2 linked regions of the Coturnix japonica genome follow. Each later gene encodes a partner of the first gene's protein in a complex. Links are inferred from orthologs where the notes say so. Each region holds a gene or a part of one and is shown in the gene's direction. Other genes may lie near its edges. The genes, in order: DFFB and DFFA.

What was found.
Region 2: the proteins of DFFB (region 1) and DFFA are in contact, whole or in part, in an NMR structure (PDB 1F2R), measured with the Mus musculus proteins. The link is inferred for Coturnix japonica from reciprocal best matches to the Homo sapiens genes DFFB and DFFA. Residues at the interface, in NP_031885.3 of Mus musculus: Cys10, Lys12, Arg14, Ala19, Cys20, Lys21, Phe22, Gly23, Val24, Ala25, Ala26, Arg39; in NP_001020467.1 of Mus musculus: Asp66, Thr68, Ile69, Val70, Asp71, Asp72, Asp74, Tyr75, Trp94, Tyr96, Asp100.

What each region holds. Positions count from the first base shown.
Region 1 is NC_029536.1:770,125-774,642, reverse strand, and holds the start of DFFB (DNA fragmentation factor subunit beta), read left to right. Parts: upstream 1-1,600; 5' UTR 1,601-1,687; coding exon 1,688-1,801; intron 1,802-1,862; coding exon 1,863-1,989; intron 1,990-2,062; coding exon 2,063-2,251; intron 2,252-2,739; coding exon 2,740-2,819; intron 2,820-2,940; coding exon 2,941-3,114; intron 3,115-3,338; coding exon 3,339-3,439; intron 3,440-3,727; coding exon 3,728-3,944; 3' UTR 3,945-4,518. Other genes in the region: CEP104 (centrosomal protein of 104 kDa), read right to left, coding at 1-166, 694-806. UniProt on the Homo sapiens protein: Nuclease that induces DNA fragmentation and chromatin condensation during apoptosis. Degrades naked DNA and induces apoptotic morphology.
Region 2 is NC_029536.1:3,186,246-3,190,756, reverse strand, and holds the start of DFFA (DNA fragmentation factor subunit alpha), read left to right. Parts: upstream 1-1,573; 5' UTR 1,574-1,653; coding exon 1,654-1,750; intron 1,751-1,827; coding exon 1,828-1,989; intron 1,990-2,131; coding exon 2,132-2,262; intron 2,263-2,617; coding exon 2,618-2,807; intron 2,808-3,149; coding exon 3,150-3,304; intron 3,305-3,703; coding exon 3,704-3,907; 3' UTR 3,908-4,511. Other genes in the region: peroxisomal membrane protein PEX14, read right to left, coding at 1,437-1,472. UniProt on the Homo sapiens protein: Inhibitor of the caspase-activated DNase (DFF40).

The sequences.
Region 1 (4,518 bases):
GTGAAACCTCTCTGACTGATAAGGAGCAAAGTATTCAGGCAAGCTTTCGCTGATGAAGAACTCAATTTTGCTGGAGATCATGTACTGGTGAGCAAGCAGCTGCAGCTTTCGTATTCGACATCTCTCCACCAACTGCAGAACAATTTCTTGTGGATACTGACAGAGTCTGAAAGGACACACAGTTTTGAGCCACCTTTTTAAAGATCACTTGGTTTCCAACTTGAATAACATTTAATCATGCAACTTTGTAAAGCTCTTATAGTTTGCCATTGTTAAAATATCATAAAAACAAAGAGTAGAAACATTTTTCACTTTAATGCACGCGTGTGTCTGTTAAAAGTGCACTGCTGTTGTGGTTTAACATAGCAGCCTGTCAGTCACTATGAAGGAAAACGACTGTTCCAGCTGAAACTAAAACAACTACATACACCCAGAAGATGTATTGAGAAGACTGTAGTTTTAATTCCAAGCCAACGCAGTTGCAAATTGTTAATATGACCTTTCAGTGTAACCAAGGCTATTTTTCTCCTGCAGAATAAGGCCTCCACAGGGTTAAAAGTAACTTAGATGCTTTGGTTTAATAACCAGTTTGGTCTAGCATGCATTAAACTAGTCTGAAAACACATGCTGCATCTCCCACTCAATGTAAACTCAGTGCTGTAGGATTAAGCACGTTGCTCTCACTTGCAGTACCTTGGTGATCGCCATCCGTTCACTGTTGGTGCGTGGACCATCAGCTCTTTTGCACTGAAGCCATCTTCGTGCCCCGATGAGCTGACGACTATAAAGCCAATCTTGTGTGGCATCCTGCAGAGGCGAGCTATACAAAACAACCATGTTTCAAACTTAAGCTAATCCTTAGGAGGGCAATAAAACAACACCGAAACACTGCAGTCCAAGAATTCTGTACCGTGGTCCATTAATTCAGCAGCTGCCGACTGTAAATCTGAATTTATTTAATGCTAGCACCATAAACTGTACCATTTTCTTTTATGTTTTATCAGGGCTTAGTGAAGTGAGGGCTTGGTTAACTTGGACAGCAAGATCAACTGTGTTAAAAGGCAGAACCCCAATTATTTGTGGGCTCCTTCCAAGTCCAGAAGGTCTAAATCTAACACACGAATGGTGATGAGCACAGAAGCTTCTCCTTGCTCCACTTGCCCAGCTGCAAAACCTTCAGAGCAACGTGACATCCCTCCCCATAGGTCTGGAAGGAAATAATCATTACAGTAACAACAAGAACAGAATCAACTTAAGCAGGAGTCACCCAGTGACGTTTCACAGCCATGCACGTCCCCAGGCCACAGCCAAACACACACACACAGCAGGAGCTGTGAGGGCAGCACATCGATCCCCATTGCGATGTTAAGCAATTACTTTCCGCCCTTCCCTCAGCAGGAGGCCTTGGGAGGGCAGCGCCCCGCAGGCCTCAGAGAAGCCAGCTCGGGAAAACGGCCCCTACCGAGCCATGAGCCGCCACGTAGGGGACCTGGATACTGGGATGGCTTAACACAGCTTTTCAAAGGGAGCTTTGAGAGCAGAGAGAAGCAAAATGGAGCGACCCGGCCGAGCCGGGCCTACACCGCACTCACCTCAGCGCGGCTCCATCGCTTGTCACCTTAGCAACAGCGTGAGCGCCGCCACGCATGCGCAGCACCCACCGCAGGGAGGCGGGAGAGCGGCTGTCATGGCGGCTCCCCTCAGGCCGTTCCGCCTCCGCCGCCCCGGCAGCGCGCAGAAGTTCGGGGCTGCGGCCGGGAGCCTGCGTGGGTTACTGCGGAAAGGATGCCGGCTGCTGCAGGTGTGGGACGGGGGGACACGGGTTGTGGGTTGTTGTGGGTCTCGTGTGACCGTCCGGGCAGCTCCCGTTGGCAGGGAGCCGGCTGTGCCTCTACGAGGACGGGACGGAGCTGAGCGAGCCGTTCTTCCGCACGTTATCGCCGCACACGGAGCTGGTGCTGCTGCGGCCCGGGGAGAGCTGGACGGGATGTGAGTGACAGGGGCGCGGTGATACGGGATGATAAAGGCTGATAAAGGCTCCTAAAGGCCGCTCCGTGTGCAGGCTGCGGGGACGTGGAGCGGTTCCTGGTCGCACTGTGCAGCCGCACGGACGCGGTGGTGGAGGCCGCACGGCGGCTGCTGCAGGACGAGCGGGCGCCCCGCAGGCAGAAGCTGCTGGCGGATCTTATACACAACATGAGCGGGGACAGCGCTGCAGAGCGACGGGATGAGGACGGGAAGTGGTTCGAAGGTGTGTGTGCTTCGTGAGTGTGTACTGATAAGAGCCTGGCCTTGTCCTCATGCCCTTCTGATATCTATAAGCACTCACATCCCCTCTTGGCCGCCTTCTCCCCATCGTTCTCATCCTTTCCAGGCCCCCCCTCTGCTGGGTGTCCCACAGATCCCACTGCCTTGACCAGAGGAGCCCAGAACTGGGCACAGTGTTCCACACACAAAGAGCACGACAATGCTATTTGATAGAGCAAATCCTCAGCTACAAAACGCTGCTTTTCTACACACTCATCACTATTAGCTGTGTGTTTCCACTGGTGATAAACAGCCTGTTTGCTACCTGACACATCAACCCTGCTCTCACAGTAGATGCTCTGTGTGGTTCTGTTAAGCCCAGCAATAAAATAAAGCCTGTATGCTGAGTTTGTGAGCAAAAGCCATAGGTACACGTCGAAGAAGATGCACAGAATTGGAAGTACTGTACTAAATGAAGCTGCTTCTCTTTAGGTCTAGAATCTCGTTTTAAGAACAAATCAAGTTATATGCGGTACAGCTGTGAAAGCAGGATACGGAGCTACATGAAGGAGGTAAAAGTGATTACATGTACACTAAGCACACACAAATGTATGTTTAAGTACAAGCATGGTACTTGCATTAGAGACCTGCTCCAGACACCAAGGAGTGACTGTACTTCTGTTTTTCTTTTAGGTTAGTAATTTTATCTCAAATGTTCATCCTACAGCAAGAGATGCGTATAGAAGGATACTTGAGCTGATGTCGGATAAACTGAAGTCTGTGAGATATAACGGCAGCTACTTTGACAGGACAGAGGAGGAGGCAGCGGTGCGGCTGTGCACAAAGGAGGGATGGTTCTCTTGTCAGGTAGGTTCAGCCCTGCCCCAAAGCAGTCTCGGTTCTAACAAGCAGCACTGACAACATTAGAGGGGGGAGATGGTGACTTCAGTGCTTGCATAGAGAAGAGCTGAGTTTTGGCAACATTATCACCTGTGTGTGGTTGTAGTGAGATGGAGCTGCATCAGTTCAGGACTGGGACTGAGCTGGGATGATGAACAACGTGCCTTTCATCGCAGCCACCTTTTTTACAGGGCCCTTTTGACAGAGATGACTGCCCATGTAAGCATTCTATCAACCCCTATACGAACAGGGAAAGCAGAATCCTCTTCAGCACCTGGAATCTCGATCACATGTATGTATAATGCATGTATAAATCCAGATTTACCTGCTCAGATTTTGTTTGTATGGGAATTTACCCCTTTCCACCATGTTATCCTTTATGAAGGATATCCTCGTGTCCCTCTTTCCAGGCATTGTGCATTTCTGAAGCAAAGCTAAATTGATTCCTTCCTAAAACCATTTTAAACCCAGTTATGGTGAGAGAATGCAACTTCTGCCTTGCTTTAAAAGGAAGATGGAGGCATATTGTTAAGAAAGCAGATTTTGATGGCAATATTGTTTTCTCTTTTGCATTCTGCAGAATAGAAAAGAAACGCAGCGTTGTCCCAGAGCTGGCAGAAGCTGTCAAAACACGAGATGGAAGAGAAGTGAACTGGGAGTACTTCTATCAGCTATTGTTTACAGTGGATAATCTAAAGCTTGTCCATATTGCTTGCCATAAGAAAACCAATCATAATCTCAGCTGTGACAAAACTAAGATTTACAGAAAAAGGAAGCAAAGCCGTGAGATTTCATAGCGCTCCCTTTGGAAGCAACTGCTGGTTTTGGTTTCTTTCCATTTCAAAATCATGTAAGATGGTATAATGTTTAAATAGCTCTTGTTTCTTAAACAAAACCTTACTTAGCTGGTCTCTTCTGCAAGGACTTCTTCCTTTATCACCTCCAGTGCATTCATTGAACTGCAATCTCACAAAGCATGCGCTCAGATCGTGCCTCCTTCTCCCACCTCAGATGACACTGCTGAGTGTGATAATCTGACTCATAGCTGCAATGTGCAAAATAGAGGCCAGAAGCTGACACTGATGATACCTTATGATTTCTTGCTTGCTGTGATAAATGTAGGTGCAAAATGCACAGTGCAGAAACTGAACTTACACAGAACGTTTCTTATAAATTAAGTAGATTAATACTGCTCTGAACGTTAAGCCAAACAAAGAATACTTCAGGGTAATTATTCTGTGCCTTTACCAGGAAGACAGGCGCTGTATTGCAGACAGGCCAAATGATTCAGTGGCAGAGCTGCTGGCTCTTCTATATGAAGACACCTGCACTCATCTGTGACCATTCAATCTACTGTTGCATAGATGCAAG
Region 2 (4,511 bases), about 2.4 Mb from region 1:
TAAAGAAGTATAAAACAGAGACTTAAAGGGTGCATTGAGTGTACACGATATCATAGGAACCCAAATGTTTCTCAGGCAATCGCATTTACCAATTAAGCAGACTTCTTCATTGGAAACCTGCAGGCAGCTGCCTCATGGACTGCCCCAGGTGGCTCACAGATCAGTCTGAGGCTGTTTCAGGCTTCCTCCTGTTGACAGAGCTCAACCCACATCATGAGGAACAGATTGATGTGCCTGCACCTCAAGGTGCTACTGATGAAAGCACACAACCAGCACAGAACTGCCCAGCAAGCCAACCAGCAGCCTGATAATGGGGCCTATACAGCCTGGGAGCTCACAGTGTCAGAGCACAGCCTTTATGGAACGTATCTCATCTCTGTTTAGTTCAGCAATGCTCACTACAAACTTAGCTTTTTCAGTCCAAAATAAAAGTACCAATGGAAACGTGTGTGGTGATTCAGTCAAATGAGAACAGACGTGAATGACTGCACAGAAAAGCGAAGCAGACTTTGCTGTTTCCCTCCCTGCTCCTCTCTCCTTCACCTGCAAGGAAAGGCCTTTCTGCAACCGCTTCAAGGATGGTTTTACAGCCTTCATATGGTCCAGCATAGCACTGCATCAGAGGCAGAGGTGAGATGAGGAGTGCCAGGTCCCTGCTCCTGGGCTCGGTTGGCAGTGTGTGACACTGGGGTTATGCTGCACTCTGTCCTATGGCACCGCCTTTGGGGTTTCCCTCACAGCTGGCTGGAAACCCACAATGAGTGCAGCTCCACCATGCTGCCATCTTCCCTTCTGCCTTCCCCGTTTGCTTCAGGGCCCAGTTTATGAAACCCCAGCGATCCCAGCACCTGCCCAGAGCAGACAGTCACTCCATCACACCCGTGCCTCTCCCCACGCCCCACACTCACTCGTGGGCAGCGTTTGCATCGCGCCTGTCATTGCAGTGCCCTTTGGTGCCATTGCTTCAAGGATCTCCCAACCTGTTTGTTGCGAGGCAGAATCACTTGGTCTACCTGACGTGCAGACCCACCTGACGGGCACTGTGCCTGTCTGTACCCGGGCTCTGCGTTGGTTTGTTCCCACTTTTTTTATCCTCCCATCCAAGTGCTTAACTCCACACACACACATACACACACAGAGCTCCCCGAGGCCGGGCAGCCGCTCCATGCGGGATCCTCCTCCCCTCTGCCCCTGGAGGCCGCTATGAGGGGGGGGCGGGCGGCGGTCGGAGCTGAGGCCGCGCGTGGGGGGCAGGAGCGAAACCCAGATCACGAGGAGGCGGCGGGGACGGCAGGGGAATCAAGGCAGGGAATGGAGGCCCGCAGCTCGCAGCCCTGCCCTCCCTTCACCCTGACCTCTCCCCCGCGGCTCTGTTGGCAGCCCGGCCCTGCCCGCCCCGCTGCCCGAGCAGAGCGCACAGCTCCGGCCCCTCGTACCTGGCTGGGCTGCTCCGCTTGCTCCGAGGCCGCCATCTTCCCAGGCCCGGCTAATCCATGCCCGCCCAGGCGATGGCACAGCCCGCCCCGCCGCCCGTAGCGCCGCAGGCAGCACGAGCCGAGCTCCGCACCGCCGATACAGCACAACGCGATGCTCTGCCGCACGGAGCTCGTGTCCCTTTAAGGCGGCTGCGGAACTACGCGGCCCATCGCGGCCATGGCGGGGCGGCTGAAGCCGTGCGTGGTGCGGCGGGGAGACGGCAGCGAGCAGCACGGGCTGGCAGCGTCCTGCCTGCGGGAGCTGCGCGATAAGGGTGAGCGGCGCTGCACGGGCACGGCCCGCTCATACAGCACGGGGTCAGAACGGCATTAAACGTTTCTCTGCGCGCAGCTGGACGAGCTCTGGGTATCGGCGAGGACGGGCGGCCCGTCACCTTGGTGCTGGCGGAGGATGGAACCATCGTGGACGACGAGGATTATTTCATGTGCCTGCCCGCAAACACCGCCTTCGTGGCGCTGGGCAAAGGAGAGAGGTGGTGCGGGACGAGCGCAGGTACGAGCGGGGCTAGGGACCTCGGAAAGGAGGCAAAGGGCATAGAAAAGCAGCGTTAAATAGCTTTAAATGGGTAACGGCTGTCGTCCCGATCTCGATAGCTTTGTGTTTTCATCTTTTGGCTGCTGATGTGATGTGGCAGGCGGCAGATCGGGCTGGCTATCACAGCCTGCGGATGAAGTGGACAGCGGGGCAGAGAGGTGGAGGCAGCTGGCACGGCAGCTGAAGGGAGACCTGTCCAACATCATCCTGATGTCTGAAGGAGACCTGCAGGTACGGGGGGTGGGGGACACCAGGCTCATCCATCCATTGCAAAGGATGGCATAAATTGGATCACTTAATTCAGCTCTTGTTTCTTTGGCTGTGGTGCTAACGTGAAAATTCTCCTTGAGGGGGATTCCTTGTTCCACTGACAGCACCAGCGTCTGAGGAAGATGCTCTAAACCACTGACTGTCCCTCACATCATGTCTTTGTGCCTCTGCCCCTTCTTGCCTTCCTGAAACATGCAGATTCTCAAGTGCCAGCCTTGAGGCTCCGTCATTCAGGCTTGTCGTTTGTGCTGTAATCAGTGTGATGGAATTGCTCATCACTCAGTCCATAGAACAGGAACACTCCTATCGTTTGAAGGTGCTGATTGACATACCACGTTCAGATCTGGCAGAGGAACTTGCCCAAAGTCAAACCAAAACCCAGGTACTGCAGGACACCCTGCAGCAGGTGCTGGACAGACGAGAAGAGGAACGTCAGTCAAAGCAGCTCCTGGAACTCTACTTAGAGGCCTTGAAAAATGAAGACAGCGTCTTAAGCAAAGTAGCAGGTAGGGAACGTGAGGATATTGAAGAAGGAGCTTCTCAGAGAAGCCTGAAAGAGTTGAGTGGGACAGATAAGTGGGGGAAGGATTGGAGTGAGTCACTTGCTATTAACATGGGTGATTGAATAGCTGGTGTAGTGGAAGAATACCCTGAGTGGGAGGAGTCCTTTCACTGCTTACAGTGCCTGAAAGTAGAATATGGGGGCAAAGCTTACGTAGTGTAGTCATCCTTAATACTATGGGTTTCCTAAGTTAGAGACTGAGTATCTAATCTTAAAAAGAACAGCGCAGTCTGGGCTATGCTTCCCGTCCTGTGTGTGTGGCTGTAATGATTCTTCTGCTTTTCAGAGTCTGAGAGCGTACCAAGAAAGGAGATGGATGTGGTCGACACAGGTACCAGCAGTGCAGGGACTTCAGCCACAACAGCCCTCAGTGTCCAGATCTGTGCTGTTCTGAAAGAGAAACCTGCCCCAGAGCTCTGCTTAGACAGTCAGACTCTAGAGGTGGGTGAGGATCATACAACCATGTTCTGGCACATCTCTCCTGTCTGGATAAAGGGTTGAGAGCTGAAGCTTCTGTGGCATGAAAAGGAAAGTCTGGGTAAACTAGCCATGACAAAGTGTTCTGATGATATGAAATTATTAATCTCGCTTTTCTGTGCTGCAGAAGCTAGGGAACTGTTTTCCGTTAGTTGGAACGTAGAGCTTCAAGCTCTAAGTACTGGTAGGATATAAAGAAAAATAAATTCGCTTAGGAGATACAAGCTGCAGGCTGGAAACATCTTCAACACCAAATTAGCATTAAAGAGGTGTCTCATTACTCCTGTTCTTGGTGCGTGCGGGCAGGCGGTTGTGGTGGTAGAGCATCAGTGGGCAGCACTGCTACAAATCTTTCTCTTACAGCTGGTGGTGAAGGAAGACACTCAAGCCCTGGCTGCAGCTTTAAGCTGGGACAAGCAGAAAGCCGAAGCTGTACAACAAGCTTGTGATCAGGAGCTCTCCAAGCGTCTACAGCAAGTGCAGACTTTGCACTCCCTGAGGAGCACATCGAGGGGCAAGAAAGCGCTGCCCTGTGGAGATGGGCTCAGTTCAAAACGCAGGAAATAAGACTATAGCTCTGCCTCAAGTGTCAGGGAAATGCAAGTAGTTGTGGGTTGCATTTTTTGTGGTTGTTTTTTTAATTAGAACCAACAGAAATAAGGTATGTCCTGGGAGCCATAGTTTGCTGGTCATACTGTGGTCTGGCTGCAGAAAACTAAGATTTGGACATTGTCCTGAGGCATAAATACTTGTGCTGATTCAAATCATGTGTAACCAAAGGGATGTGGACTTTTTGCAGAGTACTAGAACAATGGTATTGCTAAACACAGCGTGTAAGAGTTCAGCTCTGAATAGCTCATTGGGAGCCAGAAAATTCCATCTGATGGTGCTGATCTGGCTGTGAAGCCTTGGACAGTTTGTTCACCTTCCCACCATCTACAGCAGAAAGGATGAAAATTACCTACATCGTTAATGAACAGGAATCAGGCATTTTGATCATTGCTCACTGAACAGTTTTTAGGGGGGGGTTGAGGGATTTATTGTGATATTATCATTGTGCCATTTTTTCAGCCGCTTCCTTTCATCTCCAGCCTGGTATGTAGGCACTTGGAATTCTCATGCTAATCCTACCAGTTAAAGTAAAATCAAAACCTCTTCTGTGTTTTTGTTG